Elephas maximus indicus: one gene and its partner. The protein of the gene in region 1 purifies or fractionates together with the protein of each later gene. This does not show direct contact. Links are inferred from orthologs where the notes say so. Each region holds a gene or a part of one and is shown on either strand. Other genes may lie near its edges.

What was found.
Region 2: the proteins of AP1M1 (region 1) and ATG9A purify together in Homo sapiens (affinity purification with western blotting, with the first as the bait; 3 studies listed by BioGRID). This does not show direct contact. The link is inferred for Elephas maximus indicus from reciprocal best matches to the Homo sapiens genes AP1M1 and ATG9A.

Annotation. Positions count from the first base shown.
Region 1 is NC_064821.1:36,437,224-36,444,386, forward strand, and holds the start of AP1M1 (AP-1 complex subunit mu-1), read left to right. Parts: upstream 1-3,914; 5' UTR 3,915-4,014; coding exon 4,015-4,056; intron 4,057-7,163. Other genes in the region: protein FAM32A, read left to right, coding at 1,094-1,162. UniProt on the Homo sapiens protein: Subunit of clathrin-associated adaptor protein complex 1 that plays a role in protein sorting in the trans-Golgi network (TGN) and endosomes.
Region 2 is NC_064824.1:117,820,980-117,828,316, reverse strand, and holds the start of ATG9A (autophagy-related protein 9A), read left to right. Parts: upstream 1-4,245; 5' UTR 4,246-4,364; exon of another isoform or gene 4,365-4,437; intron 4,438-4,460; exon of another isoform or gene 4,461-5,376; 5' UTR 5,377-5,434; intron 5,435-5,836; 5' UTR 5,837-5,865; coding exon 5,866-5,968; intron 5,969-6,091; coding exon 6,092-6,135; intron 6,136-6,647; coding exon 6,648-6,712; intron 6,713-7,337. Other genes in the region: ANKZF1 (ankyrin repeat and zinc finger domain-containing protein 1), read right to left, coding at 459-614, 801-1,029, 1,314-1,461, 1,555-1,667, 2,076-2,269, 2,388-2,490, 2,690-2,802, 3,476-3,617. UniProt on the Homo sapiens protein: Phospholipid scramblase involved in autophagy by mediating autophagosomal membrane expansion. Cycles between the preautophagosomal structure/phagophore assembly site (PAS) and the cytoplasmic vesicle pool and supplies membrane for the growing autophagosome.

The DNA of each region.
Region 1 (7,163 bases):
CTGTATTACGTTCATGATGTTTTAGTGTATTTGGAAGTATTTAAGGGTTTTATATGCATAGAAAGGTAAAATATATACTAAGACAAACATTTGACTGACACTAAATAAGAATCATATGTACCTGTTCTGACTTACCTGCAAATTCGACTTAAAGACAGAGTTAGGAATGGATCTCGTTCGTAGCCTGGGGACTACCTGTATTCACACACACACGCACGCACGCACGCACGCACACACACACACAGATTTATTTTGAAGAATTGGTTCATGAACCTTTGGGGGGCTGGCAAATGCAAAATCCATAGGTTAGGAGATAGACTGTAGACTCCTGCAGTATTCTGTCCCAAAATCAGTAAGTCAGGCGGCTGGGGAGAGGGGGATTCTGACAGAATATCTAGTCTAGAGGCAGAATTTTCCCTTGGGAAACCTGTGGTTTGCTCGTAAGGCCTTCAGCTGCTTGGATGAGGCTCACACACTTTATGAGGGTAATCTGCTTAAGACCAGCTGATAAAAACAATTATTAGCTGCTATTCAGTCAACGCCCAGCTCATGGCAATCCCATGCACAATGGAACCAAACACTGCCCGGTCCTGCGCCATCCCCATTTGTTATGGATTGGACCATTGTAATCCAAAGGGTTTTCACTGGCAAATTTTTGGAAGTAGATCACCAGGCCTTTTTTCCTAGTCCGTCTTAGTCTGGAAGCTCTGCTGAACATGCAAGTCTCCACGGACAGATGGGTGGTGGCTGCGCTTGAGGTGCATTGGCTAGGAATGGAACCCAGGTCTTCCACATGGAGAGCAAGAACTCTACCGCTGAACCACCACAGTAACAACTAGACTGGTGTTTGATGAAACAACTGGGCACCATCGCCTAGCCAAGTTGATGCAAAATTAACCACCACAGGGTCCTCCCAGGGTCATTCAAGGGAGAGCCCAGGGTTCGGGCATCTATAGGACCTGGCAAGTTGGGTTTGAGTGGAGAGTAGGAAAGGAGAGGCAGGACATGGAAGAGGTGGTGTGGGCAAGGCTTTGTGCCCTTCACACCCTGCATGGGTCAGTGCTGAGACGAGCTTTCTCCTTGACCTTCACAGGACTTCAACAGACACCTGGACACACTCACAGAACATTATGACATCCCCAAAGTCAGCTGGACCAAGTAGCCTCCTGGCCCCTGGGCATGGCGTGGCCTCATGGGGAAGCAGAAGACAGAGTTGGGGTTAAGTCGGGTCCCTTTGGCATTTTCTAGAAACATTCTTTTACCCATGCCTTTGCATTTTCTGCTGCAACCGTGCATTTTGAAACTGTCTCCTTGTTCTAGAACTTGATTAAAGTAAGACTGTCCTTTGACTCAATTTTGGTTTTTAGTGTGGGCTGGAAAGCTTTGGAAGTTTATCCAGAGGTTCAAGTCGTTGCTGTGTAAGTGCCATGTAAGAATATTTAGTTCTCTGAGTTGCATTTAAGCTTCTGAGGACAACCAAGCAGTTCTCTTCATCCAGATAAAACTGACTCCAGAGGATAAGGAGCTAATGCTGGTGTGGCCTGCAGTGTGCAGACCCCCTTATATGTAGGCTCCCCTTCTAAACTCCCATGAGCTTGGGGCTTAAGCTCTTCCATCCAGGATGCAGGGAAGCTACCCATGGCTTTGTGGTCTTCCAACCACCTCCACAGCCCTCTTGCCTGGGACGCAGAGGATGGCTGCCTATGGCAGGGATGAAGCATCCCACCTGGTCCCTTTCTGAGCCCATGACTGGCTTGCAGCCCCTCTCCCAGTTTCCCCATCCCAGACACTTCTAATGGGTGTCACCATGGCCCCTGTGGCAGACATTGCAAATCATTCACAGCCTTCTTTGTAATGGAGCCCAGATACCACCTGACTCCCCCCTCAGCCAGGGTTCCAAGTTGGCACATGACCAGGGCTGAACTCCAGCACAGACAGACATGTATGTGATCAAACAGAAGGACCCCATTACCGGCGGTGGAGAGCCAGGGTCTTTTGGGGGCCTGTGTTTATTGGATGAGGCTCAATCTGTATACTGGGGGAGACAGTCTCTGCTGACCCAGCTTCTGAAAGAGTAACAAAGCGAGAAGACAAAAATCAAGTGTGGGGCTTGAGGCTGTTACATGTGAACTGCAGAATAAAGCAACAACCAATTATTAAATGAGTCTGTGTGTCTTAGTTATAAGCTGTTTGGTTTCCACACGGGAGGCGGCCTCTTGAATTTATCGCACATGAAGGGTGTGCATGCCTGTCTTAGCTATCTAGTGCTGCTATAACAGAAATACCAGAAGTGGGTGGTTTTAACAATGAAATTTGTTCTCTTACAGTCTAGAAGGCTAGAAGTCCAAAATGAGGGTGCCAGTTCTAGGGGAAGGCTTTCTCTCTTTACCAGTTCTGGGGGAAGGCCCTTGTCATCAATCTTCCCCTGGTCTGGGAGCTTCCCTGCACTGGGAACCCTGGATACCAGTGCTGCTTTCTTGGTGTTATGAGTCATACCCCCGCCATCCCTTGCTTCTGTTATATCTCAAAAGAGATTGGCTTAAAACAGAACCTAATCTTGTAGATCAAGTCCTGCCTCAGTAACGTAACTGCCACTAATCCCATCTCATTAGCATCATAGAGACAGTATTTACAACACATAGGAAAATCACATCAGATGACAAAATGGTGAACAATCACACAATACTGGAAATCGTGGCCTACCCAAATTGATAGATGTGTTTTTGGGGGACACAATTCAATCCATGACAATACCTTAAAGGACTAAAAACAAAAGGTCCCTGAGTGGTGCAAATGGTTTGTGCTGGACCACTAAAGGTGGTTCAGAACCACCCAGTGGCGACCCAGAAGAAAGCCCAGCTATCTTCCACAGAGATTTTTTGTCAGGTGCCACTGAGGCATTGGCAACTCATAGTGACCCCATGTGATAGTGGAATGCTCCATATGGTTTTCTTGGCGATAGTCTTTATGGGGGTGGATGGCCAGGTCTTTCTGCCGAGCGGCTGCCTGGGTTTGAACTGCCGGCCTTTTGGTTAGCAGCTGGGTGTGTAACTGTATGTGCCACCAGCCAAGAAAACCCTGTGGAGCAGATAGGGTCATCATGAGTCGGAACTGATGGCAGCTTTTTTTTTTTTTTTTTTTAGACCAGGGATGGGAGGAGGGAAAAAAGGCGAAGTTATTTCTTAGGAAGCAGTGAGCTTTTGTTAAGAAACCAAAACCAAACCAAACGCACTGCTGTGGAGTCGATTCCGACTCAGCGACCCTATAGTTTCCAAGGAGCGCCTGGCGGATTTGAATTGCCGACCTCTTGGTTAGCAGCCATAGCACTTACCCACTAGGCCACCAGGGTTTCCCTTCTGTTACGAGTGATGGAAAAATTTAGAAACTGAGATGGCTGCACAACATGATGAACACAGCATCACTCGATTGTACATGTAAAAACTATTGAAATGGTAAATATTACATATTTTTACCACAATAAAACAGACTGTTCTTTTCATCTATGTTCAGTGAGGGCGTGGTTTTCACGAGATCATTCCAGGCAATAAGCAGAAAACCACGCTTTTCCACTGACGAACGTTAGTAATGACAGGTGACAGTGACCGCGGTAAGGCGTAACTGCCTTTCAGAGAGTTTCCTTGACCTTTTTCCAAGTAAATCGCCACCTCTCCCCTCCCAACGGAGCCTTCTAGACTCCCACATCAGACTGCGGCTCCGTAAAGCCTGGGCCCCAGGTGAGGCCCCCCTTTGACATCTTGCACCTAACTAGGCGCGGACTTCTGGATTCTGGAGGCGGGGTGGGAAACGTGGCTCGCACCGGGCTTCTGCGCCTGTGCACGCTCCGTTCTGCGCCTGCGCGATGCTGGCAACTCCGCCCAGGCCGGACATAACGGTCCGCGCGCGGCTCCCAGACCGGAAGTGGAGGCGGGCTGTCGCGGGGCGCCGGCCTTGATCAACGCCCGGCTGTTTCCGCAGCTGCTGTTGAGGCTGCCGCCGAGGCCTCCGGCAGCCGCCATGTCCGCTAGCGCCGTCTACGTGCTGGACCTGAAGGGCAAGGTACTCAGGGCTCCCCACCCGCATCGTTGCCGGGAAACCGGCGGGGGCCTCGCCCCTCGGGGACCCACCCCGTTGCTAGGTGACTGGCCAGTGGGCCCCACCAAGGTGTGAGGCCGGGAGGCTGCAGGGCCGCACCTGAGGACTCCACCCTATTACTGGAGAAGCAGGCGGGGTCTTCTGCCCGCGAGCCCCGCCCTGTTGCTAGGTAATGCAGTGGGCTGCCTTGTGGTTGGCAACCGCCAGGTAACCGGCTTCACCACCCTCCCCGCCTCTCAGCGAGGCTCGGGAACTCAGGCCTCCGTGGGGGCCCGGGAGGCCTCAGGGAGGGCAGGCCCAGCGCTGAGGGACCGCGCGACCCTTGGCCAGAAGTGGCGAGGCGTGGCGAGAACAGCATGCCCTGGGGTTCGTTCCGCTCTTGGAGTCGCAGCCGCTACAGTTCAGCGGGCACCTTTTCTGTCCCAGACCCGGTAGGCGTTGCTCAAGGAACGTTCATGGTGACACTGAGTCTGTACAAGAGTTAGGTGAAGTGGGCAGTGGAAGCGCCAATGTGCAGAGGGGGAAACCGAGGCACAGAGGCTGAAGCACCCACCCAAGGTCACACGGGTCGCAGAGAAATGGCAGGTGGAGGCCTCGATCCCAGGAGGCAAACCCAGAATCACCTATTGGCTCAGCTAATTTTTGTAGGACTGGTACTGAGCGCTAGACCAGGCTGCTGTTCTGGTTTCTCCACTCCAAATTACGATGACTCAATGAGTGCAAAGCAGAACTGTGCTCCACAGGGTTTTCTAGGCTGTGACCTTTTGAAGTAGATAGCCAGGCCTTTCTTCCAAGGTGCTTCAGGATGGACTCAGTACCAATCTTTCAGTTAGCAGCCAAACTTGTAAAGCATTTGCACCATCCAGGGATTCCAGAATGTTACAGGTTGTTAGTTGCCAGTCAATTCTGACGCATGGCCACCTCATGTGTGCAGAGTAGAGCTGTTCTGCATAGGATTTTCAAGGCTGTAACTTTTCAGAAGCACATTGCCAGGCCTGTCTTCCGAGGCACTGCCGGGTGGTTTTAAACCACCGACCTTTCAGCTAGCAGTCTAGTGTAACCGTTTGCACTACTCAGGGACTAGCGCCAAGCAGGGGGAGCAGTCCCTGTCCCGTGGGGCCCACAGTTTGGTAGGGGAGTTGGGCAGTAACCTCAAAAAACACAAACCAATATGCACTGCAGTGGAAGAGCGATGACCATGTATAGTAGGGAGGTCCCACCTCAACTCAGGGATCAAGGAGGCCCCCCAAAAAAGTGGCAAGTGCACTGAGGTGGGAGGGAGTGTTGGACATGCCTGGATCAGGAGCTTATGCTGGTTCCAAAAACCAGGTGCCTTTCCAGGAGAGTCTGACCAAAAAACCAAAACCAAACTCGTTGCCGTCAAGTCCATTCTGACTCACAGCGTTCCCATGTGTTACAAAGAACTGAGCTCCACAGGGTTTTCTTGGCTATTATCTATATGGACGATCACTAGGACTTTCTTCTGCCACACTGTGGGGTGGGTTTGAACTGCCAATCTTTAGGTTCGCAGCCAAGCACAAACTGCTTGAGTCACTCAGGGACCTTAGGGGTGTCTGAGAGAGCTGCTTAAAGGAGTGGTCATGAAAGCCTTTCAGAGGTGGGCTGCTGTCCTCCCCCAAGCCCACCCAGTGGTGGAGAGGCAATGGCCATCTGACCTCTTACATCTGGGAGTGACAAAAACAGATACAACAATGTCAGACAAGTCTGATGTTGATCATTGAGAGGGACGTGGATGTCAGGTCCTGGGGGAGGGAAGGGAAGTTAGCACAGAAGCAGACAGGAGCCAAGAGGTGACCTGACTGCCTCTCCCTCCACCCCCAACACCTTTCCCATGAGTGGATGGCCTGAGGCTCCCCTCCTTGGATGCCACCCAGAGTCAACAGCTTTTGGCTCCCTTGTTTGGCTTCCTTGCCCAGCCTTCTCAGAGGCAGGGAAGACGGGCACCCCAGGACTGGAGGAGCAGTGTACCCTGAGGCTTTGTGCTTGTGTTCTGCTTCCGCCCTGGCCCGTCTCACTGGCTCATGGCTTTAGCAAATGTTATGTGAGCACCTAGCACGTGTTGAGCACTGTGCCAGGCACAGGGGGCCCCTTTGGCCCTGGGGCCTGGGCGAGCTCAGCACCCTTCCCTGCAGCACAGTGTGTGGCCTTGGCAGGCACCTCCCCTTGGGCCTCACTTTCCTCATTGATCAAGTGAGTCCGTTTCGGGGATGTTGTGGGGACTTGCTGAGCGATATGCGAGGCTCAGCCCCATGCCCAGCCTACTGTCCACAGCCCTCAGTCCAGCTGGGAGACACGCCAGGCAGCAGATACATTACCGGATGGTCAAATCCTGCAGCCACAAGGGCAGGGACAAGCCCTGAGGGGCCACAGTTGCTCAACCTCACTTCGGCTGCAGGAAGGGAGGTGGTTACAGAAGGCTCCCGGAGGAGGTCTGGGTTTGGGAAGGTGACCAGGTGGCAGTCAGGTTAACAGGGAGGCAGTCCAGTGGGTGCACGGGGGTCAGGGGCAGCCACTGGGGCTGGAGAGCCAGTCATCCCTCATAATGCTGGTGCATGGAGGGCAGCACCAAGGGGACTGTGGGTGTTGAGATGTACAGATGGAAGAGGGGACAGAAGGACACAGGGAGGAGGAGCCACCACAGGGAAATTGTGGCTGGGAGAAGCATGACCAGTCTTGCCTTTCGGAAGCTCATTTTCAGCAACCAAGACGACATTTATTCTTCCCCTCACCGTGGACTTCATGCCTGGAAAGCTCACCTCTTGAGCAGATGGTGTTTAAGCAACACTAAGTGAATAACACCTGAAGCAATTCATGACCACGCGTCTCTGCTACTCAGAGCCTCCAACCACTGGGAGATCAGCATGGCCAAGAGCCTGCTCCCCCCTTGTCTTCCAGCCTCTCGCAGTTCCTGACACCGCAAACCACCTCCTTTAGCATGTGTCTGTGGTGCCACACTTAGTTGTCACCCTGTTTCTCTTGCTTCTCTCCTCGGGCCCTCCTTATCTGCTTCCCCTTGTGTGTTGGGGCTCCTCGGCTCAGGCCTGAGCATA
Region 2 (7,337 bases), on another chromosome or scaffold:
TCAGGGACAGAAGTCCCTGAACTCTCACCCTAGGGTGGCATGCAATAAAGGAAAGGCTGGGAGCAGTTACAGCCATGCAGGCCAAGGATCTGCAGCCAGGAAAGCAGCTCAGCCCAAAACCACAGCATGGAGTAAGACAAACAAATACAACAGATTCATGCAACGTGAATACTCAAGCATCTATTTTGTGTCAAGATTGTTCTAAGTCCTGGGGATACATCAGTGAACAAAAGAGGTAAGATATGGGAAAGACAATCACTGAGCATGTCTCAGTAATTGTTATGACATATCCCATTTTATAAGCAGACACTGGTATGGTTGTAAATACGTATGTTGGGGTAGAAGGGCCCATCTGTAAATAGGGACATGGGTAAGTTATCTGGGTAGCAAATCTACCACTGCGTTTCCAGGATAGACACCCATATAGGGATTTGACAGTTGCCAAATGTTGCTCAAACCCTGTTTGGGAGACTGTGCATTCTGCCCAAGTTCCTCATTTTCATCACTGGGGACCTTTCTTCTTTCTTCTTCGATAGCCTCCTTCCTCTCCACTTTCATTGTCTTCCAGTGTGTTTGAGGTGAGTCTGATCTGACTGCCTCCCGGGGGTCTTCTCCTGCCACAAACAAAAGATCACTCTCAAGTGTAGCTGAGAAGCCAGCCCAGGCTTCTCAGCGAAGATGTGGTTGCGCTGCGGTTCAGGACCTGGAAAATCTTTGGATGCACACGTGAGAACCTGAGGCTGGGAGTACAGCAAGGTCTAAGGAACCTAGGGATCTGGGGATCTGTATCAAAGGCTCACCATGGACATGCAAAGTAGTCAGCTTATGGAGCACACGCTGTAGCTCTCGGAAGGTGGGTCTGCGGGTGGTGAGGGGGATATCCCAAAGTCGGGGGTCCCCCCATTGCAGGGGTGCCCCACGGCCTCCAAAGAACAAGGATCGGCCAGAGCGGGGGGCACGCAGCAGAATGGTCCCAGCCTCCACCAGCGCCTCAGCCCAGCCTGGCCCTGCCAACAGGTCACGAACCTCCTAGAGGAGAGAGAGTAACTCAGCCCTGCACATCTCTACGTGCTATTTTAAAATTTCCAACCCAAAAACCCACAGATCATAGAGGTAGGAGATAACACAAAGTGAGAAAGAATGAGTACTAAAGACCCTGGGGATTCCTTTTCTACCTTTGTTTACCCAGAAATGATGAAGATTGGAAAGATATGGAAGTAAAACACCTCTCCACTACAACACTTAATGAGTTAAATTGAAAAGAGAAAAAAGTGTGGATCAGAAGACTGCCAGATCTGGGAGGCCTAACTCACCTTACATAGTGTGGCTTCATTATAGCGCCTCAAGCTGGCTCCAGCAGAGTGAGAAGCCCCACCCCGGGCATCCTGAAGCCCCTGGGCTGTGCCCCGCTTGGCCCGTACAGTGTAGCGGTGAAAAGTTTTGTGTGCCACCACTTCTCTTCTGTAGACAGCACAGATTCAGTACTAGAGACCAGCTGATGCTCCCAGGCTAACAGGATCCATTCCATCCTCACCCTATGTAGCACCCTCTCACCCTTGGAAAATGGCACCAGCAAAGTGCCCAGCTGCAGCCATGAGCACCACACAGAATCTGGGACCTCCACTTCGCAGGTTCTGTAGCAGAAGTCCTGCCTCTTCTGGGGGCACCTGGTTGAAAGAGGAGAAGCACAAACATTCTACCTGTTGCATTCACGGAAAGCAAGAAACCAATACCGAAAAGACTCCCAAATGCCAGCGCTATCTCATTTAATACAGTCACCCTGAGGATTGTCTCCATTTTACAAATAAGAAAATTTGAGGCTTGTAGTGGTAGCCAAGAACAAGTGGTAGAACCGCAACTGAAACCTAGACCAGTCTGTTCCCAAACTTAATTCCACTACTGTTAATCCTTCCCAGATTCAGGTCAGCTTAACCCAAGACTATGGCTGTCAAGTGTGATGCCTATACCAAGACAGGAAGAAAGGGAAGAAGTGAGAAACAGACTGGGCTAAGGGGAAATCTAGAGAGATCATACAAAAGGCCAGGGTTGACCATACAACCTGTGCTGTCACTTGCCTGGCGAGGGCCTAGGATACAACGGTAGGCAGAGAGGAACTGGCCCTGGGCGTTTCGGAAAAGAACCTGATGCGGGTGGAAGCCTCGTGGTTGGTTAGGCTTCTCAAATTCAGCCCTTTCCTCATCTACTATCTGCAAATCCTCCTCACTGGCTGAGTCTGAGTCTTCTGATCCTGAGATGCTGGAAAGATCTCCTGTGGACAACATGATACACAAGTTTGATACCCCAACTTTGACCTTTCCCTAAACTCCTGAACTAGCCTTTCTCTACCCCATGTCATACTCCCATTCAGGTTTCCCACCAGTTGTCACCTGTGGAGCTCTGCTTTTCGAAGTCCAAGGCAGAGAGGTGGGGCTTGTCCTTAAGACGTTGCTTTAAGTTAAACCGATGCCAGTCAAGCTTATAATGTTCTCTCTGGTAGGAAGAAAAGAGGGAGGCAGAAGATGAAAATGTGGTAGCCAAGAGTAGGAATGGAGTTCCAGAAAGTATGACGAGTAACAAACTTACTGAGTTCCTTAGTCAAAGCATAGACCTTCTTTAAGACAACTGTACCTCTCCCCACCCACCATTATACCTATACTTCCAACATCTAGCCCTCACTCTAGCCCTTTACCTGCTCCTGGTGGTTCTGCAAGGTGTGGTCACAGGTTAAACAATGTAACTTCTCCGAAATATCTGGAGGACCCTGGAGTAGTTTTCTTTTTGGGCTCGCTCTCTCACCTGAACCTAAATATGGGAAGGATAACTGGAGGTAGAAAAGGAGTCCAAATCCATGGTACAAAGCAGAGGAGGTTACAAAAGAAGATGGCATGTCCTTATCTTCAAAGAATTTACAATTAAGTAATATGAAAGAAATGGAACGGTAATCACCTTATATAATGTTATATGCTTCTGAAAAAAAAATATATAAAATGAATACAAACCAAACATTGCACTTAAGTGAACCAGAGGAGTAGTTTAGAGAAATCCTGCAGAAAATAACTTTTTGTATGATTAGAATTCTTTTTAACTGCAAAAACCACTCCCCAAATGTCGGTTTTTTTAGCTTACATTTTCAATTACAGTGTGTAGTTTATTTAAAGAGAGGCGCAAGAAAACACAAACAGAAACGAACCAAAATTATATAAAACTAAATATATAAATATTTTTGGAAGGCATTGGTGTTAATGAGAAAAGATATAAGTAAAGGCAAGAGACTTGTCTGGAGACAATTCAGGGGCCTGTGCTGGAAACCACCCCGAGATTAACTGAAGGGATCAATTTTATCCAGCAGAAAGGGAAACCAAAGTGGGCTCCTGAGCTGGGGAATACCAATAAAGACAAGCTCCATGGAGAAGCAATGTACTCCAAATAGTCCTGTCATGTTCCTTGTGGGTCCACCCCAAACCTTCCCGGATACCTGGACAGTGCAGGGCCTGGGCCAGAGCCTCCCTGGGAACGTGGCTCACCAGACTCAGGCCCTGAAAGATCAGGGCATCCGCGTTGAGGTCAAACAGGGAGACCGACGCAGGAGCCGGGGCTGCAGCTGAAGTGGGCGACATGCCTCAGCAGGAATTACTTAGAAACGGCTCCTGGAGCAGAAAGGGGAAAGGAACCGAACTCCCTAAAGCGAGATCCTACTGCCCGCGTCTCCGGACTCACTGACTCGGTCACCTCTAAGCCGTGAAGTATATCGGCCTTCACCTCGGTACTCCGGAGTCAGATCCGGGGTAAATACGTGACCCGGGTCGCTTATTCAAACCCCCAACCTCAGACCACGCGAGAGTGAAATGGGGGAGCAGCCAGCTACTAAATCGAGTCTAGCAGTTAAAATCACTGATGTTCCCTAATGGACCGCTCCTCGTTACCCGAACGACGAGCTCCGGTATCTACTGAACTGCATAGACTCGCTGCCGCCGGTACCAGCTGCACCAAATATCCCCGGGAGCCGAGCGGCACGCACGTCTACAACTCGAGGCCTGCACTTCTGTAACACGACAGTCCCGTCGCTACGGAGCGGCGAAGGGGACAAACAACATCTCCCGTACCTCGGCCCCGCCGCTCGTAGAGCACAGTATTGGTTCCCTGACTGTGCCAGATCCGCCTCGAGCCTTTAGTCCCGTCCTCAGAGCCGAGAATTGGCCGTCGTGCTTCCACCCCGTATGCTCATTGGCCAGGCTGGCTGCGGGTGACGGTGACTGGCAGACGCCGGGCCTAGCGCTCAGGGTCCGGCCGAGCCGAGCCGAGCCGAGCCGAGCGAGCCCCTGAAATCACCCGGGTCACCGTTCCTGAGGTGAAACACTAGACCGGTAACTGAAATCCCAGGACCTGGACCGGGGCGAGCCAGGGATGCCCACGGAGCCCTAAGAGAGCTCGCGGCGGGTAACGGGGGAAGGGGCGTCGCGGGCGGGGCGGGGACGCGCAGTCAGAATGTTTTGATGGCGGGGGCGCGCCCTGGCGGCGGGGCCGCGCGAGAGGTTGTCCGCTGTTGGGAGCTGAGCCCTTGTTCAGGGGCCAGGCGACCCTGGGGCTCAGGTCGTGGCGGCTGGATGTGGGAAGGCACCTCTACCCACCCGGGCTATCGGCTGTAGGCCCGGCTGGATTCCTTCAACATCCGCAGGAACCCCTGAGCCCAGGCCTAGCCGAGGCTCCACGGGCCCAGAGTCCACCCAGACCCGGTGAGTGGTGATTTCTCTGAGGGCTTGATCATCTCCTCTGGACTCAGAGCTCTCCCTAATCCAGAGTCCCACTGGGGCCAGACTGGGCCAAGACTCGTCGCCCCCGGGGTCTGTACTAACTGGGTGAGTGCCACTGAGATCATGTCTGGCGCCAGAGAACCTACAAATTCATACGGGATCTGGGGTCTCCATTGATCCAGTGAGAAAGTTCCCCTCAAGAGCCATGCCTGTCTGCTGAATCTTTGGTGCTAGGGAAGCAGGGAAAGGTTGACTAGAAAGAGCCTCAGAAAAGACTTTTCTTGGGTTTTGGGCTTGGGGCTTTCTGGACCCTGAGATGCTTGCCTTATTTCTGAAGCTGAGGTGGGACAATGAGGAAATAGTCCAGAGGGGCCACTGGACTTCAGGCCCACGCTGACCCAGGCTCCACAGGTCAGTAAGTCACTTCCTGGTACCCTGAGTTGAATGGACCATACAGCCAGAGAAACTGTTGATACTCCTAGGCTGAAACAGCACTTCTTCCCCACTGCAGCCTCCCTGCCCCATGCTTGACCTCCTCTTAATGGGAGGTGGGAGTGAGTGGGAGAGTTCAGTGCCTTTCTGTCCCCACTTCCCACTCTCTGGGGCCTGACATCTTCTCCTCCAGCAGCTGCAGAGCCAGGGCACCGACGGCTGGAGTGGAGCAGACACTGTCCATGGAGCTGGTAGGGTCATGTGCTTATTTCAAACCTTTGTTTTCTAAGTGCTTCCAAACTGCTTGTCTCTTGGGAGACCAGGGTCTCCCTAGGAGGGGAGCGGGAGGGCCCCTTCTCTCCACTGAATAGAAGGCAAAACAGTCCCTCAAAGGGCAGAGTCTGGCTTCAGGCCAGCAAGGCAGAAACTGAAACTCAGTAAAAGCTCTGGGAATGACTGACCAGTTAAGGTCTCCCAAGCCCTGAGCTCACTGCCTTCCTTGGGTTACTCCTTCTCCCCTGCCTTTGGCCCAAGGAGCCTAGTAGTGGAGACAAAGCCCAAGGATTCCTTCTCATTCCTGGCCTAGTAGGCAGGCCAGCAGGCAGACAGCCTCTGGGCCTGAACCAGGGTCTCGTCTTCCTCATCACTGGCAGGTGGATAAGGTGGACAGGGGGCGGCGGTGATGGCGCAGTTTGACACTGAATACCAACGCCTAGAGGCCTCCTACAGCGATTCACCTCCAGGGGAGGAAGACCTGTTGGTGCATGTCCCTGAGGGGAGCAAGTGTGAGTTCTTGGACATGACATCCAGAGCTGGGACATGGGGACTGGGGTGTGGGGGGGGACACTGAGGGAGCAAGGGGCTGATGTTCCTTCAGGGCTCTGACATCCTTGCCCTTGTGTCCACAGCACCTTGGCACCACATTGAAAACCTTGACCTCTTCTTCTCTCGAATATCCTTTGTGACTGTATTGGGACTTTAGAATCTTGAGCCTCTCTCTAGGCCAGGTCTCTGATGAGAAGTTGGGGTGAGTTTGTTTCTAATCCCTGGAACGGGGATGAGAGGCTGGGGAAACAATGATCCTTAAAAATAATGATGCCCCACAATTTCTGAGAGCTATGTACCTTGTACTTTGTGGTGTTAATTTATAAGTAACTTCTCTAAGGGAGATTCTCCTTTTTGATGAGTTCCTAATAATCCTAATAATTCATGTCTTTTGGACTCATTCTATGTCAGCTATGTGTTAAGTATCTTGCCTGTATTGTTTTAGATCTAATAATTCTAAAAGATAGGCCTTGTTATTCCCCGTATACCACTGTGGAAAAAAGCTTAGAGGTTAAGTAACTTGGCCGGAGTCATAAAGCTAGAAAGTCAGAGAGGTAGGACTTAAGCTCAGGTGTGTGACACCAAAGTCTGTGTGCTTAATTGCTGCCTCTACCAACTACTTTTTCTTAACGATTACACGTTTATAATCTACATCAGAAGAATGGCTTCACTTGTATGCTCATCGGGGAGATCTTTGAGCTCATGTAAGTATACAAAAGGGATAGATGAGGTAGTAAAGGAGTATATCTCAGTCTTTCTTTTTCTTATACTCTCTCCTGGCCCTAGGTGCCAATGAAACTCAGTCCCAGGATCAAAACTCTATAGACCTTTATAGTTCAGGGACTGAATGTGGCACCAAAACGTACAGCCTCACCTTACTTACCTCCCCTATAAAGAAAGCTTTCCAAGTCCTACCTCTTCCATGACCAAAAAAAAAAAAAAACCCAAACCCGTTACTGTCGAGTTGAGTCTAGTCTGACTCATAGCAACCCTATAGGACAGAGTAGAAATCCCCTATAGTGTTTCCAAGGAGCACCTGGTGTATTCGAACTGCCAGCTTTTTGGTTAGCAGCCATACCACTTAACCACTGTGCCACCAGGGTTTCCCCTCTTCCATAAAGAGAGCTCAAATTTTGATCAGTCATCAGAGCTCCAGTGGAATGGGCATGGTCCAATCAGAAGGTCTCAGAGATGCCAGCCACTTAATTGAGAAAAATGCCTCTGTTCTGCCTGGGTTGCATCTTAGGTCTGCTGCTAGGCAGCAAGTCTTCTAAGAGGAAGGAGCCATGTGCCACTGCCAAAGAGGCAGGGGCTGGGAAGCTCTCCCTC